2 linked regions of the Rhinolophus ferrumequinum genome follow. The protein of the gene in region 1 interacts with the protein of each later gene in a biochemical or structural test. Links are inferred from orthologs where the notes say so. Each region holds a gene or a part of one and is shown on either strand. Other genes may lie near its edges. The genes, in order: SLC9A1 and TESC.

The links.
Region 2: the proteins of SLC9A1 (region 1) and TESC form a complex in vitro, tested with the Homo sapiens proteins (4 studies listed by BioGRID and IntAct, with this or other methods). The link is inferred for Rhinolophus ferrumequinum from reciprocal best matches to the Homo sapiens genes SLC9A1 and TESC.

What each region holds. Positions count from the first base shown.
Region 1 is NC_046292.1:18,599,230-18,607,249, reverse strand, and holds the start of SLC9A1 (sodium/hydrogen exchanger 1), read left to right. Parts: upstream 1-4,643; 5' UTR 4,644-5,449; coding exon 5,450-5,798; intron 5,799-8,020. UniProt on the Homo sapiens protein: Electroneutral Na(+) /H(+) antiporter that extrudes Na(+) in exchange for external protons driven by the inward sodium ion chemical gradient, protecting cells from acidification that occurs from metabolism.
Region 2 is NC_046308.1:10,827,179-10,835,352, reverse strand, and holds the start of TESC (calcineurin B homologous protein 3), read left to right. Parts: upstream 1-4,854; 5' UTR 4,855-5,049; coding exon 5,050-5,107; intron 5,108-8,174. UniProt on the Homo sapiens protein: Functions as an integral cofactor in cell pH regulation by controlling plasma membrane-type Na(+)/H(+) exchange activity. Promotes the maturation, transport, cell surface stability and exchange activity of SLC9A1/NHE1 at the plasma membrane.

The sequences.
Region 1 (8,020 bases):
TGAGAGTGTGGAGTGGCAGCAAATTCAGGGGAAGCTGGGGCTGTGCTTTGTACCTATGGAGATGGAGGTGCCCATGGGATGTTCAGCTGGTGAGTGGACATACGAATATCAAGTTCACTGATGGGTGTTTATCAGAGTTATCATTGAGTCTCCTATGCAGGAAGCATGGGGACTTGTACATAGCAGGTACTAAATGTTTATTGAGTGAATCATGAACTCAGCTTAATTAAAAGCCACTTGCTGAATCACAAATTCTAACTCCTTACCATCCTCCCAACTCTCTTCTAGTTGCCCAGGGTGTACATGTTTTTTCATGGTGGCTCTTAGCCTAAAGAAGTGGGAAAAGCTTGGACTTCAGAGTCAGACAGACTTGGATCCACACCTGGCGCCCCAGCTCTGTGTCCACAAGCGACTCTCCTTTTGGAGCCTTGGTTTTCTTATGTGCAAATACTATATCCTGTCATTCATTCATTCATTCACTCATTCATGAGGGCTCTCCTGTCCTCTTGGAGTTCACATCCTATGAGGGGAAATGGCCGTAAACAATAAAATATAGAAACAGGTTAATATTATGTCATATGTGAGAAGGTGAAAAGAGTTATGGAACAAAGAAAAAAGAAGCCATATAACGGCTGGGGACCGGGTGGTAATGGTGCCGGCTGGGCTTCCCAGGGGAAGCATCACTATTGACTAGAGTTATCATGTAGCAAGTAAGCCACACCGAGAAGGGAGATTTGTGGAAAGGCTTGAGGGATACGAGGGAGTGAGCCAAGTGGATCTGGGGAAGAATGTTCCAGGCAAAAGGAACAGCAAGTGCTAAGGCCCTGAGGCAGAAATGGGGCTGGCAGTGTTTGAGAAATAGCAAGGAAGCAGGGTGATTGGGGTGGAGTGAGTGACGGGGAGACCGAAAGAAGAGAGACTTGCAGGGCTGTAAACTGAGCTTGACAAGCACCAGCCCTTTAATCCTCGTAATAACCTTACAAGTCAGGAATTACGACCCCACCCACCTTTCATACACATGAAAAACTGAATGACAGAAACCAAATGTGACTTGCCCGTCATGTACAACTAGTAAGTGGCCCGGTGGATCCTTTCCTAGTACCACACGTTATTTGCCACGTAGCTGTTGATGTCACAGCGACAGCAAGTTCATAAAATTCCCATCACTTTTAGTGAAAGAATTCAGTGAGGGGATAGGGAAACAGATATGGCCTATGCAGGACCAGATGCCATTTGGGGCCCAGGATCCTGAGACTCTTCTAGATCTGCAGGGGGAAGGACCTGCAGAGACATGGCCTCCCTGAGTCAAGAGCAGTGTGGGCCTGGAATGGTTACAAAATGAGGACTTGCTCAAACAAAGGTACAGACATTGCGGTACATGTTAACTGATTACCTATAACAAAATCATGCTTTTAGTATGCACAATACACTATGATGTAATTTATCGAAAATTATTAAATTCATAGCATGCTACAGGTGATGTGGTCTGATCATGGGACCAATTTCACAGATGTGAGGATCTTCTTTCTATCCTGTCCATGTGTCTCTGTGACTGAATATGTAACTTCAGGTGGTCCTACCACCAAAAGTCTACTTTGGAGGCCCTCAGTACATGTAAATAAAGATAATCAGGTAAATATACGTGGTACTTGCTAGGTGCCGCTCTAAGTGCACTGGTTAATATATTCATATTATATTCATAATATATAATTCATAATATATTCATGAGATTGCCACTATTATGGTCCCCACATTATGGAGGGAGAAACTGTGGAACAGGGAGATTAATGGATTTAACTAAGGTCTTACAACTAGTGAGTGGTGGTTGTGGGATTTGAACTTAGAAAATCTGGCTATCCACATTAGACAGTGCACGTACTTAATTCTTATGCTATACTGCCTGGCCTCGGCTGGGCCTTGGCCGTGGGCTGTCCCAGGTAGTTTTTCTCAAGGGCTCTTTCCCAGTTCTGTCATGATGCTATAACCTTCTCCAGGCGGTGGAGGATCTCAGGGCTGCCTCTTGTAGGATCTGCTACCTCCCAAGCACTCACTGAGGATGAGTGAGGTAGAGCTGGAGAGTAGGGAGGATGGGAGCACAGCTGTGAATGCTGCCCTTGAGACCGGAAAGGACTATAGATCTCAGGGTTCTGGCCCCAATGTCATCTGTGGAAAGTCCCTCCACTAGCTCCATTCCTTCCCTCTCTTCTTTTTTCTAAACTGAACCTGTGGTGTTTTGAAAGAACTCTGGATTCAGACATTCGAAAGTTGACTTACATTCTGGATCTGCTACCTAACAGCTGTGTGACCCTGGCCAAATGGCTTCATGTCTCTGAGTCCTAGCTTTTCCATCGTAAAATGAAAATGAATAATAGCTACTATCTATTGAGCCCTCACTATGCACCAGCACTTGGATCACTGATAAACCTGGAGCATTTGGTTGTGAACTATAAAGGACTGAACCATTGTAAAGTATTATTGTCATTATTCTCATCCTTGCCCTACATGCTGCCCCTCTCTTTGGTTATTTCCAGTATAGCTGATGTTATCCTTTCACCTGCTCCCAGGTGACACAAGGCCCTTGGCCTTCTCTGACGGCTCTTCTAGGCATTTCTGTCATCTCCCGAGTGGCCGGGCCTGTGCCAGGAGAATGTGAGGTGCAGAGAATTGAGTTTAATGTCAGCTCCTTCAGTCACTATCACATCACTTTATTATTTTAAAATAACTTTTAATGAAAGGATAGCATATCTTAAGAAAAGTACACAAATCATGAGTGTACAAAACAAGTACCTCTGCGTAACCTTTGTTAATACCACCCAGTAAAGAAATAGAATATTATCAGCACCCGAGAAGCCTTAGTTGTGCCCACTTCGTGACCCCTCCCAAAATCACTTCCACTTCCTTCCTGCCCATGTCTTATCTCTGTGTTGCCAGAGTCCAGCCAAAGCCTTGTCAAAAGGCCCAGTAAATATTTGCTAAACTGAAATGAACCCCTTTAAAATCATTTTGTGATCCCAAGCTAGTCACTTTGACTTTCTTGACCTTGATTTGCTCTTTTGCAAAATAGGGATGGCATTTCAGTATTTTCCACAGTTGTCAACCCTGAGTGTACATTAGAATCACCTGGGCGAGCTTCTGAAAAAATACCCATCGTGTTTGGGCACTTCCCTGGAGCAGCTGAATCCAAATCTCTGAAGATAGGTCCCAGGCAACGTAGTTTTTAAAAGCTTTCCATATATATAGTTACAAGAAGTGGAGTACAGCATTAGGAATAGAGACAGTGGAAATGTAATGGCTGTGTGTGATGTCAGAGGGGTAGTGGATGGGGGAAGGGGTTGTCACTGTGTGAGGGATAGAAATGATAAATGTCTATTACATTGTTTTGTGCACCTGAAACTAATTTAAAAAAATGTTAAAAGCTTTCCAATGATTGCAGTGTACAGCCATGACCTCTTGAATCTTACCAATTCCAACCAACACTATACGTTCAAATCTCAATTCCACTACTGCTGTGGGTTGAATTGTGTCTTCCTAAAAGATATTGAAGTTCTTGGCGGCTGGATGGCTCAGCTGGTTAGAGCACAAGCTCTGAACAACAGGATCGCTGGTTTGAGTCCCATATGGGCCAGTGAGCTGCGCCCTCCACAACTAGATTGAGGGACAACGACTTGGAGTTGATGGGCACTGGAGAAACACACTGTTCCCCAATACACAAATTATTTTTATTCCCCAATAAAAAATTATATATATATATATATATTAAATAAGAATATTAAAGTTCTAACCCCCAGTACCTATGAATGTGGCCTTCTTTGGAAATGGAAATAGTGTTATGGAAATAGTATTATTGAAGATGATCAATTTAAGATGAGGTCATTAGGGTGGACCCCTAATCGGTGGACCCCTAATCCAGGGGAATTTTGGACCCAGAGACAGAGGCACAGGGAGATCACCATGTGAAGATTGGAGTTATGCTGCCAACAGTTAAGAAACACCAAAGATTGTCCGCAAACCACCAGAAGCTAGGAGAGAAGCATGGAGCAGATAGATGTTCCCTCACAGCCCTCAGAAAACCTTGATTTTAGACCTCTAGCCTCCAGAATATGAGACAATAAATTTCTGTTTTTTTTAAGCCACCCAGTTTGTGGTACTTTGCTACAGCAGCCCTGGCAAACTAGTTTACATATTAGCTAAGCAACTCTCTCCACTCATTTCCTCATCTGCAAAACTGGAACTATAATAATAGTTCTATGTGCTGGGCTCCGTTCTAAACACTTAACACAGATTATCTCATTGAGTCATTTCAGTATCCCTCTGATACAGGTACTGCTACCATTTCCATTTTATAGATGAGAAAGCTGTGGAACAGGGAGTAACTTGCTCAAGGTCACAGGGTAACTAAATACATAAAATACTAATACATCCTTCGCAAGACTATTGGGAAGCCTTCATGAGACTGCGGGTGTGGATGTGATAGCGCTTTGTAAATAGTAAAGCGTTTTACCCGTGTTAGAATCTCTGTGGATTCAGGACTTTTTTTCCGCCCCCATCTCTGTCCTTTCTCTTGCTACAGGCTACTTCCTTCCCTCGGCGGCAAGGGGTCGCTGCGCTGCGTGGGCGCCGACGTTCCTTCTAGCCCGCTGCGCTGGCTGCTCGTTGGTACCTATAAATGGCAGCGACCGGCTCAGCCAGGCATCAGTCCACCGCCGCCGGCGCTGAGCCCGGCGTTGGGAGTAGGACTGGGAGTAGACGCGGAGAACCTGAAGCTGGGCCGGGGCCGCAAGGAGGGGCGTGCAGCCGCTGGCCCACCGCGAGCCGCTCCCAGCCCTCGCCGAAGCGTTCTCCGCTAGGCCGCCTGCCTCCGCCTTCCTCCTCCCTCCATTTCCCCGGAATCTCAGCCAGGTGCGCCTGCACCCCGACGCTTCTCTGGGTGGGGAAGCTCCCGACCGCTTTCCGGCTGCACTCCTTCCTCGCAGCTTGGGCTCCCAGACCCCTCTCTTCTTTGCCTGGACTGGGTCCCACCGCCTTCTGTCCCCTTCCTTGAGCTCCGGCTTCCTGCCCCTGCCCGTAGTCTATTCCCCTCTCTCTCCTTAGTCACTTTGCTCAGCCGAGGGTCCCAGCCTCCCCTCTTCCTTTTCCTTGCCTGGGGTCCAACTTGTCCTGTCCCTTCCTCTCTCTCCTTTCCCTGGCCGGGAGTTCCAGACCTTTAGGTCTCCTGTGGTCCTTCCTGGGTCCTTCTGCCTCTTCCCCAGTTTGGAGTTCTAGATTGAGAACCCAGATTCTGTCCACCCCCAGAGGACTGCTTCCGCAAAACGACCTCTCTAAAACATGAACTTTTCCTAGAGACTACTCCAGGCTCTCTTCCCACCTGCTGACCCCTTGCTGCCTATGTCCCAGGTCTGACTCTCACTTTGCTAAGAGTCCAGGCCTCCTCGGCCAAGGGAGCGGCAGGATGCTTCTGTGGTCTGGCATCTGTGGCCTCTCTCCACCTCGAATCTTCCCTTCGTTGCTGGTGATGGTAGCCTTGGTGGGGCTGCTACCTGTTCTCAGGAGCCATGGCCTCCAGCTCAGTCCTACTGCCAGCACCATCCGAGGCTCAGAGCCACCACGGGAACGCTCAATTGGGGATGTCACCACCGCCCCACCGGAGACCACCCCCCAGAGCCACCCTGTTAACCATTCGGGCACTGAACACAGCACACAACGAAAGGCCTTTCCAGTCCTGGACATCGACTACTCACATGTGCGCAGACCCTTCGAGATCTCCCTCTGGATCCTGCTTGCCTGCCTCATGAAGATAGGTAAGTCCAGTTTGCTTCACTGCTTCTGTTGCCACCAGCCTGGTGAGCTTCTTGCCCCATCCTTACCACTTGAGGCTGCCCAGGAGTTAGGGTCTGGACTCCTATAATGTAGGCAACCTCCATTCTGCCATCTTGGTCCTTCTCAGACTTGAGCTCTGTGGTTTGAGGCCTCCCAAGGTTGAAGCCAGCATCATGCATGGGAAAGAGGGGGATTGGAGCATGGGATGCTTCTGATACTGGGTCCTTTCAGCAAGGCTTCCAGGCTTGGCAGGTCTCCTCTGGTTGGGCCAGACCCCGAGGGGAGCCAGGCTCCCAGCTGCGTGGAAGGCAGAGAGGAGTGTCTTCCAGCAAGTGGCACATTCTGCTCCGTCAACAGCAACCAGTGCAATTACACGCTTCATGGGAGGGTGTTCCAGGATGGAGTATATTTCTACTTGGCCTGTTTAAGGAGTTTTAGTATCGCAGGGTACCTGCGTGCTGGAGACCTAGCAGTGTGCTGGAACACAAGGGATCCCTACCTTTTTACCTTACTTTATCCGTGGAATATTATCTGTCAGCTTTGCCTGCCCAGGCTGGTCAGGAGCCCCTGAGTCAGTTTCCGGCCCAGGAATGCCATTCCTTATGCAGTTTATGGGACAGGGGGCCCTGGAAATTTCTGAAGTCCGTTTTGGGGGTGGAGGAGGTTGAAGCTTGGTCTGGCCCCAGCTCACCTCCAGGTTAGCAGCCACCCGGCTGTGTCTCAAGGTACTGCCTGGGTTGGCCAGTAGTGTTGGCCTGCTGCTCGACCAAGTGGAAGAGGGACAGGTGGAGGGGCTCGGGATGCTCTGGTCTGAAGAGACTTTGAAACGATCTTTTTGGGAGAAGGAGACAGAAAAGTTGTTCCCTTCTGAAAAGTTGTCTCCCTGCTCGGCCTGAGCACTTTGTTCTGCTGGGTGATTGATTTATCTCTCGGGGACCTGCATCACTCACAAGTCCCTGGAAGTGTGTCCGGGGTGGGGGGGTGCTTTGAAAGCTGCCTTTGCTTTTTTAGCCCCAGCTAATCTGTAGAAGGCAAGGGACTCTGCTGGTCTGGGTTTGGGGCGTTTGTGACTCTTGGCAGAAAGCCTTGCAGCTTACCCGAGGACCTGAAGGAGCTGATTGGTGATGCCAGGCTGGTAGGAGGCAGGCTCTGGGACATGCTGCAGGAAGGCACCCTGTTTTGACAGAGCCAGAATCTGGCTTCCTGGTGCGGTGCTTGGCTGCTGTGACAGTAGCAGGGCCTATAGATGGACCTGGGCCACTGGCATCTGTACCCTGATGGCAGCCAGCTTCCTGGCATCAAGGACTGGGCAAGGGGAGCCATTTGTACCGATTCTGACAAATACATGACCTTGAACGAGCTGGGGCCTTTTTCTGCAGGTCTCGTCCACCTGTGAAACTGGCAAGAATGTCTACCTTTGACCATATCAATTGAGTCATTAAACCTGTGTCTTAATTTGTGGTAAGAAACTGAAGTGACCATGATGTGTCATTTGCTTGTGTGAGACCAGGAAGAGACCTCACACGCATCGTCTCTGAATCACTCTCCTCCCAACCACACCTGGCATTGTGTTAGAGCGCTGGGGGCCAGTACACGCACTGCAGGTCTCAGTGATTCCTGGGGGGGCAATAGCATGACCACAAAAATCCTACTTTGGGCAATCAGGAGTTTGTCCCTGCAGGCCTGATGTCTCCAGTTCTAATGGGATTAGGCTTTGTCCCTCCCAGAACCTGTAATAGGGACCCTGGGCAGCTGGAGAACAGAGATGGTGCCATGGTGAGGGTATCAGTCCAGAAGTGAGGAAACTTGGCTTCTCATCCCATCTCTGTCTGTGACCTTGGGCCAGTTACTCATTTCCACCTGTCTGTCGATCTTTGTGTCCCCTTCCATGTCTGCCATTTCTGCCATTTCACTGACTTGGGTAACCCTGGCAAATAACTCAGCCTTGGGCCTCAGTTTCCCCGTTGTAAAAGGAGGCTGGATATGATCTCTGAAGGCCTTTGCAGTTCCAAAAGTCCGTGTCTCTGCCTCAGAAGGACATTTTTCTGCCTCTGAAAACAGAGGAGTCCTAGCATCTGACGATCTCGGGGAAGAAAGTAGAGAGAAAGGTGACTGAAAGATCTCAAGGGTCCCTGTTAAGGTGGCAAAAGTGAAAGCCCATTTTTTTCCTTTACCTTTCTGGTGTAGAATTGAAGTTAGATAA
Region 2 (8,174 bases), on another chromosome or scaffold:
TACACATCTTTGGGGGCCCTTATTCTGCCTTCTGTATAGTCTGCTGCTTAATGGTGTAAGATGCCTCTCCCCACGTCTCAGACAGTGAGGAAATAAAAGTAGCCCATCTACGGGGGCTGTTGCCTCTGTGTCTGAGAAGAGGTTCTAGCAGACCCTTCTGAATACTGATTATCACTGTCTCCTTCCACAGCCCTGAGCCCTCTGCAAAGCCTGCCCCACCGCTCCATGTAAAGCGATGGTGAAGTTAAAATAGATTTTGGGCTCCTGCCACTGCTTTCTGCTTCTCTGTTGAGTTTGTTTCTCGGACAACAAGGCAAAGTTTGAAGCCCATCCAGGGACAAACTTCCATCTGCCCCCTGCAAGTTCCAGTAAGAGGTCAGTATTTATATAAATAATAGAAAACATGCTCAAGCTTCCCTCCCCAAAGAGCCCCCCGTCTCCTATTTTTAGGCGGTCAGCCCTCCCGCCCAAAGCCCTGCCTCTCCCTCTGTGGTCTGGGTTGCGATGTAGATGCTGGTGGCTGTGATGGGAGGGGGCACAATTATTTTAAAATCCCCTTGCAGGGATCACTCTCCCAAGACCAAAAATGATTTCCTAAGAAGTGGGGGCTGGGCCGAGATTCAAGTGTGAATTCTGCTTATTTGTCTCACCAGGTATTGTGGGGAAGAGTGAGCTCGCAGAAGGAGGAGAGAGGGGCTGGCTGTAAAGTCCTGGATCCCATCCTCCCAGGGAGGGAATGAGCCGCTGTGGAGGGAGGGTCTGCTCTATGCCAGCCATTACATTCTTGCTGAATCTTCTCTATAAAGATGCGATTGTGGACCCATTATACAGATGAATCTATCTCCCGCAACAACCCAAAGTTAGCTGGAACGACTAGGGTGACTTGGGTGAGAAAGGATTCTTTAAAAGATAACTTTAATTCCAAACACAAATGGGGGATGGTTCTTCTCTGATTCCGTTTACACTGAGACATACAAGACCAGCATCAGGAGCCTGAATGAGCTGAAGAGAAAAACTGTCCGTGTGAGACATGGCATAGAGCACTCGCCGGGTTTCCCTCCCTGGACATGTTTTAGGAGAGCATTGCTAATCCTCACTTGTTTGAAGTGGTTTAGTTATGGTCTTCTTTAAGTCAGAGGCTAAGCAAGATGGCACTTGGAGTCCCCATAAATTTCTTGGAGTCAGTGACCTAAAGATTAAAGGAGTCTTGTTGCTCCCAGAACGTTGCCAAGCCTCAGGAGTACTCCCAAGCTCGGTGATTAGAGGGACAGGGGAGTGACCCAGGTGAATACTAGGAACTGCCATTTACCCAGCTTCACATCTGCACTCTGATTCTGGTTTACGACCCGTTCTGAAACACCTTGGTCTTCCCAGCTATAAAATGGGCATGTGTTGGGTACCTCTCCTCCAGGCTCCCGCAGCAGCCAGGACCCATTGGTGGGCCCTTTAGTGATGGTCTGTTCATGTCTCTTTCCTTCCAGACTCTGGGATCCCTGACATCAGGGACTGACTCCTTCACTGTGGTGTCCAAATTCCTGGCACCCAGTAGTGAGTGAGTAAATGAATGAATGAATGAACAAGTGAACGTATGAATTATGACAACAGTCAACGGCAGTTGTCTCGGACCTGCTTGTAAGAGCAAAGTGTTAAACATTCAGGAATTTTGCAAGCCCCAGTTGTTAAATTGTTGGTAGCTTAAAACTGACCACAGTGGGCGTATTTATGCCAGAGGAATCGGCCAATGCTACACATCAGGCCTTCCCTCCCCTTTTCCAGAGCCTGTTTATCAGCACTCCATGGGGAGCACTCACCATGTCAGGCATTGTGTTAAGCACTTTACCTTTATGAATCCACATTTAACCCTCACAACCACCATTATTATTGCCTTTCTACAGATGGGGAAACTGAGGCCCAGGCAGGTGAAGTCACCTGCCCAAGTGTGGTTTCGTAGCCTTCCCTGACACGAATGTGGGAGAGACCAAGGAAGACCATCCTCGCCGTCTCTGGGCTCAGCTGCCCGTCGTGGCCTCACAGGTACCAGCCATTCTCAACGTGGCTGCTGTTTTTAATCAGCTCTTCTGGGAGAAGAGACGCAGTTGCCTGGTGACTAAAGTGTTCCCTACCCTCAGAAAGTCACGCTGTGTGCTGTGTGCTGGGAGGATAAAGACACCACACAGGGTGCCCCTCGTCCAGAGCTCCAGACAACAGATCCAATCAGCCCAGTCAGACCCCATGCAAAGCTCCAGGCTTCCTTGGTGACGCCAACAGCGCTATGGGTAGGATTGAATTAAACCCGTGACGTCCTAGAACAGGCAGCAACAGGCTTTGTGTGGAGAGAGCCCTACCGCGTGTGTGTGTGCATCATTGCCAGAGAAGGGGGGCAAAGCCCAGGCAGAGGGTGGGTGCCACTGCAGGGCCCCCAAAATTCATGGTTACATCTGTCTACCCAGTATTTGCCTTTGGCCTGTCCCTTTGGGACCACAGGTGGGGACAATCATGGACTCCCCAAAATTCAGCTTAAGGGATAATAGAGTCCCCAGGGGCCATTCTGGCTTGAACATTCCAGATCTCTGTGGCCCTGTTTACCCCCCTGCATGGTCACCTCCTGTTTGTGGGTCTCCCCACTCCTCCAGGAGTTCCTTAGGAGTGAAAGTGTGGCTCCTGGTTATTGCTGGATGTGGCTCCAGGACCCAGCCAGAACCCTGAACACAGCAGGCTTTCCATAAATGTGCAGGGAATAAATAAATGAACGAATGAACCCACAAATTGTGCCTTGGGGTCTCCACCTTCCTGCTGCCACAAGGAGCTCCAGATTGTTTCTCCAAGCCCTGCCATCAGGAGTAAATCTCCCTGGGTTAGCTTATCACAACCGGCGCCTTCCTCTCTTCCAGCTCCCAGCTGACTGGCTGACTGGCGAAGGGGGCTTGTTTGGCAGCAGACCCAGGAGAACGATGGGGACCCTGGGATGGCCTCTGGGAGGTGCAATTAACATTGAGATCTGAAGAGAAAGCCCAGGCCATAGGAAGAGGGAGGTGAAGGGAGCCCCAGGCAGAAGGAACAGCTTGTCTGGGAGATGACAGTGGCCAGTGGGGCTCGAGATAAAGTTGACTGCATAGCAGGTGATGGAGTAAAGGTGGGATGCCCTCACCCCATACCCTAGGGGGCCTCTCTGTGGTCACCTGAAGGGCGGAGCAAAGCCATGTGACCCCTCACTGTCCCGGAGCACCTTCCCAAGGCCTTTATCCCCACCCATGCCAAGGGGAGGAGATGCAGTCGCGAGAACTCCATTTTCTGTCTCCCCAGCAGAAAGCACCATCATTGAATCCTTGAATTATTTAATAAAATTCCAGGAACCGCTATTTTAAGTCAGAATAAAAGTGTTCCCAGCAGTTGTGGGTAATTCCCCAGGGGTCTGGGGATCCCCTTTCTGACCCCAAGGCCAGTCTGGGTTTCTAGATACCTTCTGACCCAAAGTGCAGTCTCTAGGTCGGCTTTCCAGTTCACTCAGACCAGCTGGTGCTGACAGACAACATTTCCCCAGGTAGGTCTTAGCAGCACCCAAGGGTGCTTTTAAAATGCAGATTCCAGGCACGGCCCCAGCTCTCTGAGTGCCCACCAGAGTGTAATGGGCAGCTGGATTTTCAACCAGAAGGGGGCTGATTCTGCTGGCCTGGCAGGTTTCAGGAGACTCCTGGTGGCTCCAAAAGGCACCCTTGCCCTGGGAAGGGCTGTGACCTTTGGTTTAGGTCTGTGGTCTGCACTATGGTACCCCCTCCCCAGCGCCCTGTGCAGCTGATGTAGGGGTCCCACTCAAGTCTCTGTGAGCACTGAAGGACCCTCAATCCCCCCCAGCCCTGTGCCGAGGCTCATGCCCAGCACAGACACTGAATACATGTGAATCATTGATGGCTGTGTCACCAAGCACCACGGAGCACGATGACCCAGCCTTGAGAACTGGAAAGTCTTGACTTTTGAGTTTCTGCTCTCAATGTGTGACCTCTCTGAAAACCAGTGCCTCACTTGCAAAGTGGACATGATTCCACAGAGACCACCTTGTGCTGTGTCCCCTGCCATGCCCTTCTGAGGGACATCTCATTAACTATGTTATCCCCATTTGCAAGAGAAGGAATCCTGGTAAGACAGGTGGCAGGAGTGGCCCTGGCACCCAGCCTGGCTACAGAACCCTATCCCCTTAAGTCACGTTAACACAGAACTTCTCTCACTGACTTGGGGACCACCAACATGACATCTGACAGTTTGCCTGAAATGCAGCTTCCTGGGCCCTGCCTGAGTCAGAATCCGTGGGTGGTGGAGTTCTCTTCTCAAGTTTGAGAACTCCCCCCAGCGCCCAAGCTCCAATGCTGAGGCTCAGATGGGCGGGTCAGCACGTGGGTGTGTCCACCTCACCAGGGTGCTGGGAGGGGGAGGTGGGGTGAGGGGGTTCCCTGCAATAGGCCAAACAAAGCGCCTGGTGCGCCTTCAAGGTGGATTGCTGCTACATGACCTTTATTCACCATAGAGCTAGTTATTGCTCGCTGTCCTCCTTCATGATCGCAGGGGAATGTCCCTCCTGAGATCTGGGAGGATATGTGATGGAACCCCGGGTGGCGTGGGCAAGGAAACCTCCCTGAGGTCTGATCCCTCCTCTGTTCACACCCCAACTCTGCTCACACCTGCGTCTTTCCAGAGCCGACAGGGTGCGGAGGGGGCGAGGCGCGACGTGCACGTCCGCTGCTGAGGACCCTGGGAGGTGGGTTTCTTGGGCCCCCTCCTACCCCCCCCTCCCCCCGCTACTCCGCCGTTTCCGGCCCCGGGGCGGGGCGCTCCCCACTCCCCGCAGTGCTGGAAGCCGGTGCGCGCTAGGACCGCGGCGCGCCGCCCTCCGGTGCTATAAGAGGCCGTGCTTCGGCCCCACGCGGAATCTGCGACTCAAACCTGTCCCCGGCGTCCCACTCGCGTTGGACCCGAGGCAGAACCGGCCGCTACGCAGCCGACGCCAGCCCAGGGCCTGCGAGGGACGCGCCCCCGGGAGTCCCCGCCGCGGGCACCATGGGCGCTGCCCACTCCGCGTCCGAGGAGGTGCGAGAGCTTATGGGCAAGACCGGCTGTGAGTATTCCTCGGGGGACGGACGCGGGGACACGGATGGGTACCGCTCGCCGGCTGGCGTGGGGGCTCCCAACCCACCGCCGCCCGCCCGGCTTCGCTCCGCCGTGCTGTGTGACCTTGGGCTAGTAGCTGGCCCTCTCTGCGCCTCAGTCTCCCCGTCCTTCAAATGGGTGGCTGTCGACCACTTTTCAGGCTGTGGCGAGGAGTGCCGCGGCTGCTCAGCCTTGGCACTCTTAGAATTGGCAGGGAACTCCCAGACCTGAGGACTACAGACCCGGGAACAAGCAGGGCCCGAGCTCCCCCAGGGCCCGCGCTGGGACTGGGAGAGTCAGCGCCTGGGAGAGCCAGTGCCGCGGACACCCAGCTGGTGCGCGCCCCGCATCAGAAAGCCGTTTGGATTCACGATGCGCAGGGGGCGGAAAGTTTTGAAGTCGGCGGGAGATGGGTGGGAGCCGGGCTCTGGCTTCGTTCTCCCATCTGTAAAATGGGTTGAGGTGGATCCACCTCCTTGGGTAGCTGGGAGGTCTAAGCGAGGCAGCGTCCGCAGAGCACTTTGCAGGAGCCGGACGACCTTCCTCGAGCTCGCCGGGACTCCCTGGACCCGCAGAGGCGGGGCGCACGGGGGAGGTGGGGAGGCGGTACCGCCAGGCAGAGCTGACCGCAGGCACTTGTCTGGCGGAAGCGCCTGTCAGCCCAAGTCCAGCCAGTCAGGGAACTTGACCCTGGGCCCTGACCTCCGCAGCCGGGCTCTGCCACCAGCTGTGAGGAGAGGAGTGTGGGCTGAAGACCGAGGGAGGCCAGGTGAGGGGATGTTGGCTTTGGAGATGGACAGACAGGGTGTGAGCACCACTTCCTTCCTGGCTGTGTGACCTTGGACTAGTCACTTTACGTCTCTAAGTCTCGGTTTCCTTCTCTTTGGAATGGGAGTTCTGCTAGTACCTGGTAGATGTTCAAAAAACGGCAGCTGCAGATGTCACTTCTAAGAAGGCTCTGGCTCCTGACGCCTGCTTTGAGCTTGGTGCAGACAATCAGCCTCTGTAGTGGGTCCTGGTAAGAAACCAGCCGTTTGTGCGTGGGCTGAAAAACGACTCCTCCTGACCCCCAATCTGAACACCCCTTGCCAGGAGACTTGGGTGGAAATTACAGAAAGCTCTCTTAACAACTGGAGAGAGTGTGTGTGTGTGTGTGTGTGTGTGTGTATACGTATACATATATGTATGTCTTCCTGTGTACAAATATAGAATTATCTGTAAATGGAGTGGGAAAGGGTGTGGTACATTATATATAACGTGAAACATTTTTGTTTAAAAAAGGGGGAATAAGAACATATATTTGTAATTGCTTTATTTGCATCAGTGACTCTGGAAGGACCCACAACGCAGTAAAAATAATGAATCCTCAGGGATTTGGTGGAAGGGGTGAAGGGGAAATGAACTTTTCACTGTAAACTTAGTTATATTTTCATTTTGAATCATGTGTGAATATTTTACTTCTTCGAAAAGTTTTATAAAGTCCAGTTCAAACCCCAGGCTAATGTGAGAGAGGAGGTAGGATTCTTCTTGCCCTGACTTTCGTGGGTTTCCTCCCGTTTTTATTATTTCTTGAGTGCCCTCTCTTTGCCTCTCGCTGCCTTGTATCTGGACAGGTTGGAGGTTCTCTATAGCTGGGATCTCCCCTCCCCCCCCCCGCGCCAAGGGTGGGTTGGCCACTGGCCCCCATCTCTCAGGCTGCCCCAAGAGCAGGCAGGCAGTCTGGGGGAATTCCTGCTGGTGGGTTTGACAGGTGATGGGGCCACAGAGCATGCTGGGAATCTTGTCAGTTTCCTGGGTTCGGTCCTGACTGGAGGTGACCTGCTGTGTTCCTGTTCTGAAGCTTTCCTAGATGTGGCTGACGTGGTATCTTTTCTTGCTGGCCAGAACTCAAATTTCACTTCCCAAAGGAGGAAGGGAGACAGAAGGGGTTCTGAGGTCTGAGGGGAAGATGAACCCCTTCCGTTCTCCATACTGTAAGCACGCGGGAAGTTCCCTCTAGTCCTCTGACAGGGGCAGGCATAGTTTGGGCGCTTTTGTCTGTTCAGCCAGTATTTATCTACCAGGCACTGGGGATTTAGAGGGGACCCAGAGACTGGTGTTCCTGAGGGGGACACACATATAATCAAATCAACCCATTTGTATTGAACTCTGTGAACAAAATAGGGACATGAGGTCTGGAGGGGTGGAGGGGGGGGCAGGGAAACATTTCTTTAGGGTAGGCCAGGAGGGCCTCTCTGAGGAGGTGATAATGGGACAGAAACCCAAATAAGGAAGCGCCAGCCACATGAAGGTCAGTGGAAGGTCCATTTTGGGCAGAGGGAACAGTAAATGCAAAGGTCCTGTGGCAGGAAGAAGTTGAGAACAAGAAACAAGAATCGTATGAGATGAGGGCACAGCCATAATTGGGACTCAGGTTTTGGCAGGAGCCTGATTTAAGGGGTCTTTCTAGGTATGTGGCTTTGGGCAAGTGTTTAGTTTTATTAGCTATGCTTTAAACACATTTGTATGTCCTGGTCACTCTGAGCCACAGCTGAGAGTTAAATCTTGGTCTCAGTTCTTCCTAGCTGCATGACCTTAAGCACGTCATTTTACCTCTATGAGCTTCAGTGTCCCCATCTGGATCCTAGGTTGCTAGGCTCCCCCAGCCTCTCTGAGCACCAGGATGGCCCCGGATTTGAAGAAATCAGCCTGGTCCCTTTCCCCCTCTGGAAAAAATGAGAAGGGTGAGCATAGGATGGTGTGGTCGACATCGGATGAAAATGCCGAGCACTTTGCACGCACTATGGTGGAATCTTCACGATAACCCTCCAGGGAAAGTGGCCATATGGTTGTTTTACAGATAAGGAAACTGAGGCTCAGAGGCGTAAAGCAACTTGCCTGCAGTCCCACAGCTTATAAGTAGAGGTTTGGGGAATCACAGGATCCCTAAGGCAGCTGTCCTGACACCACTGTGCTCTCACTGGGTTTAGTTGCCTGTCAGATTTCTAGGAACCCAGAAGGGGTAGGAAAAGCTTGCCCATATATTTTTCTCACCT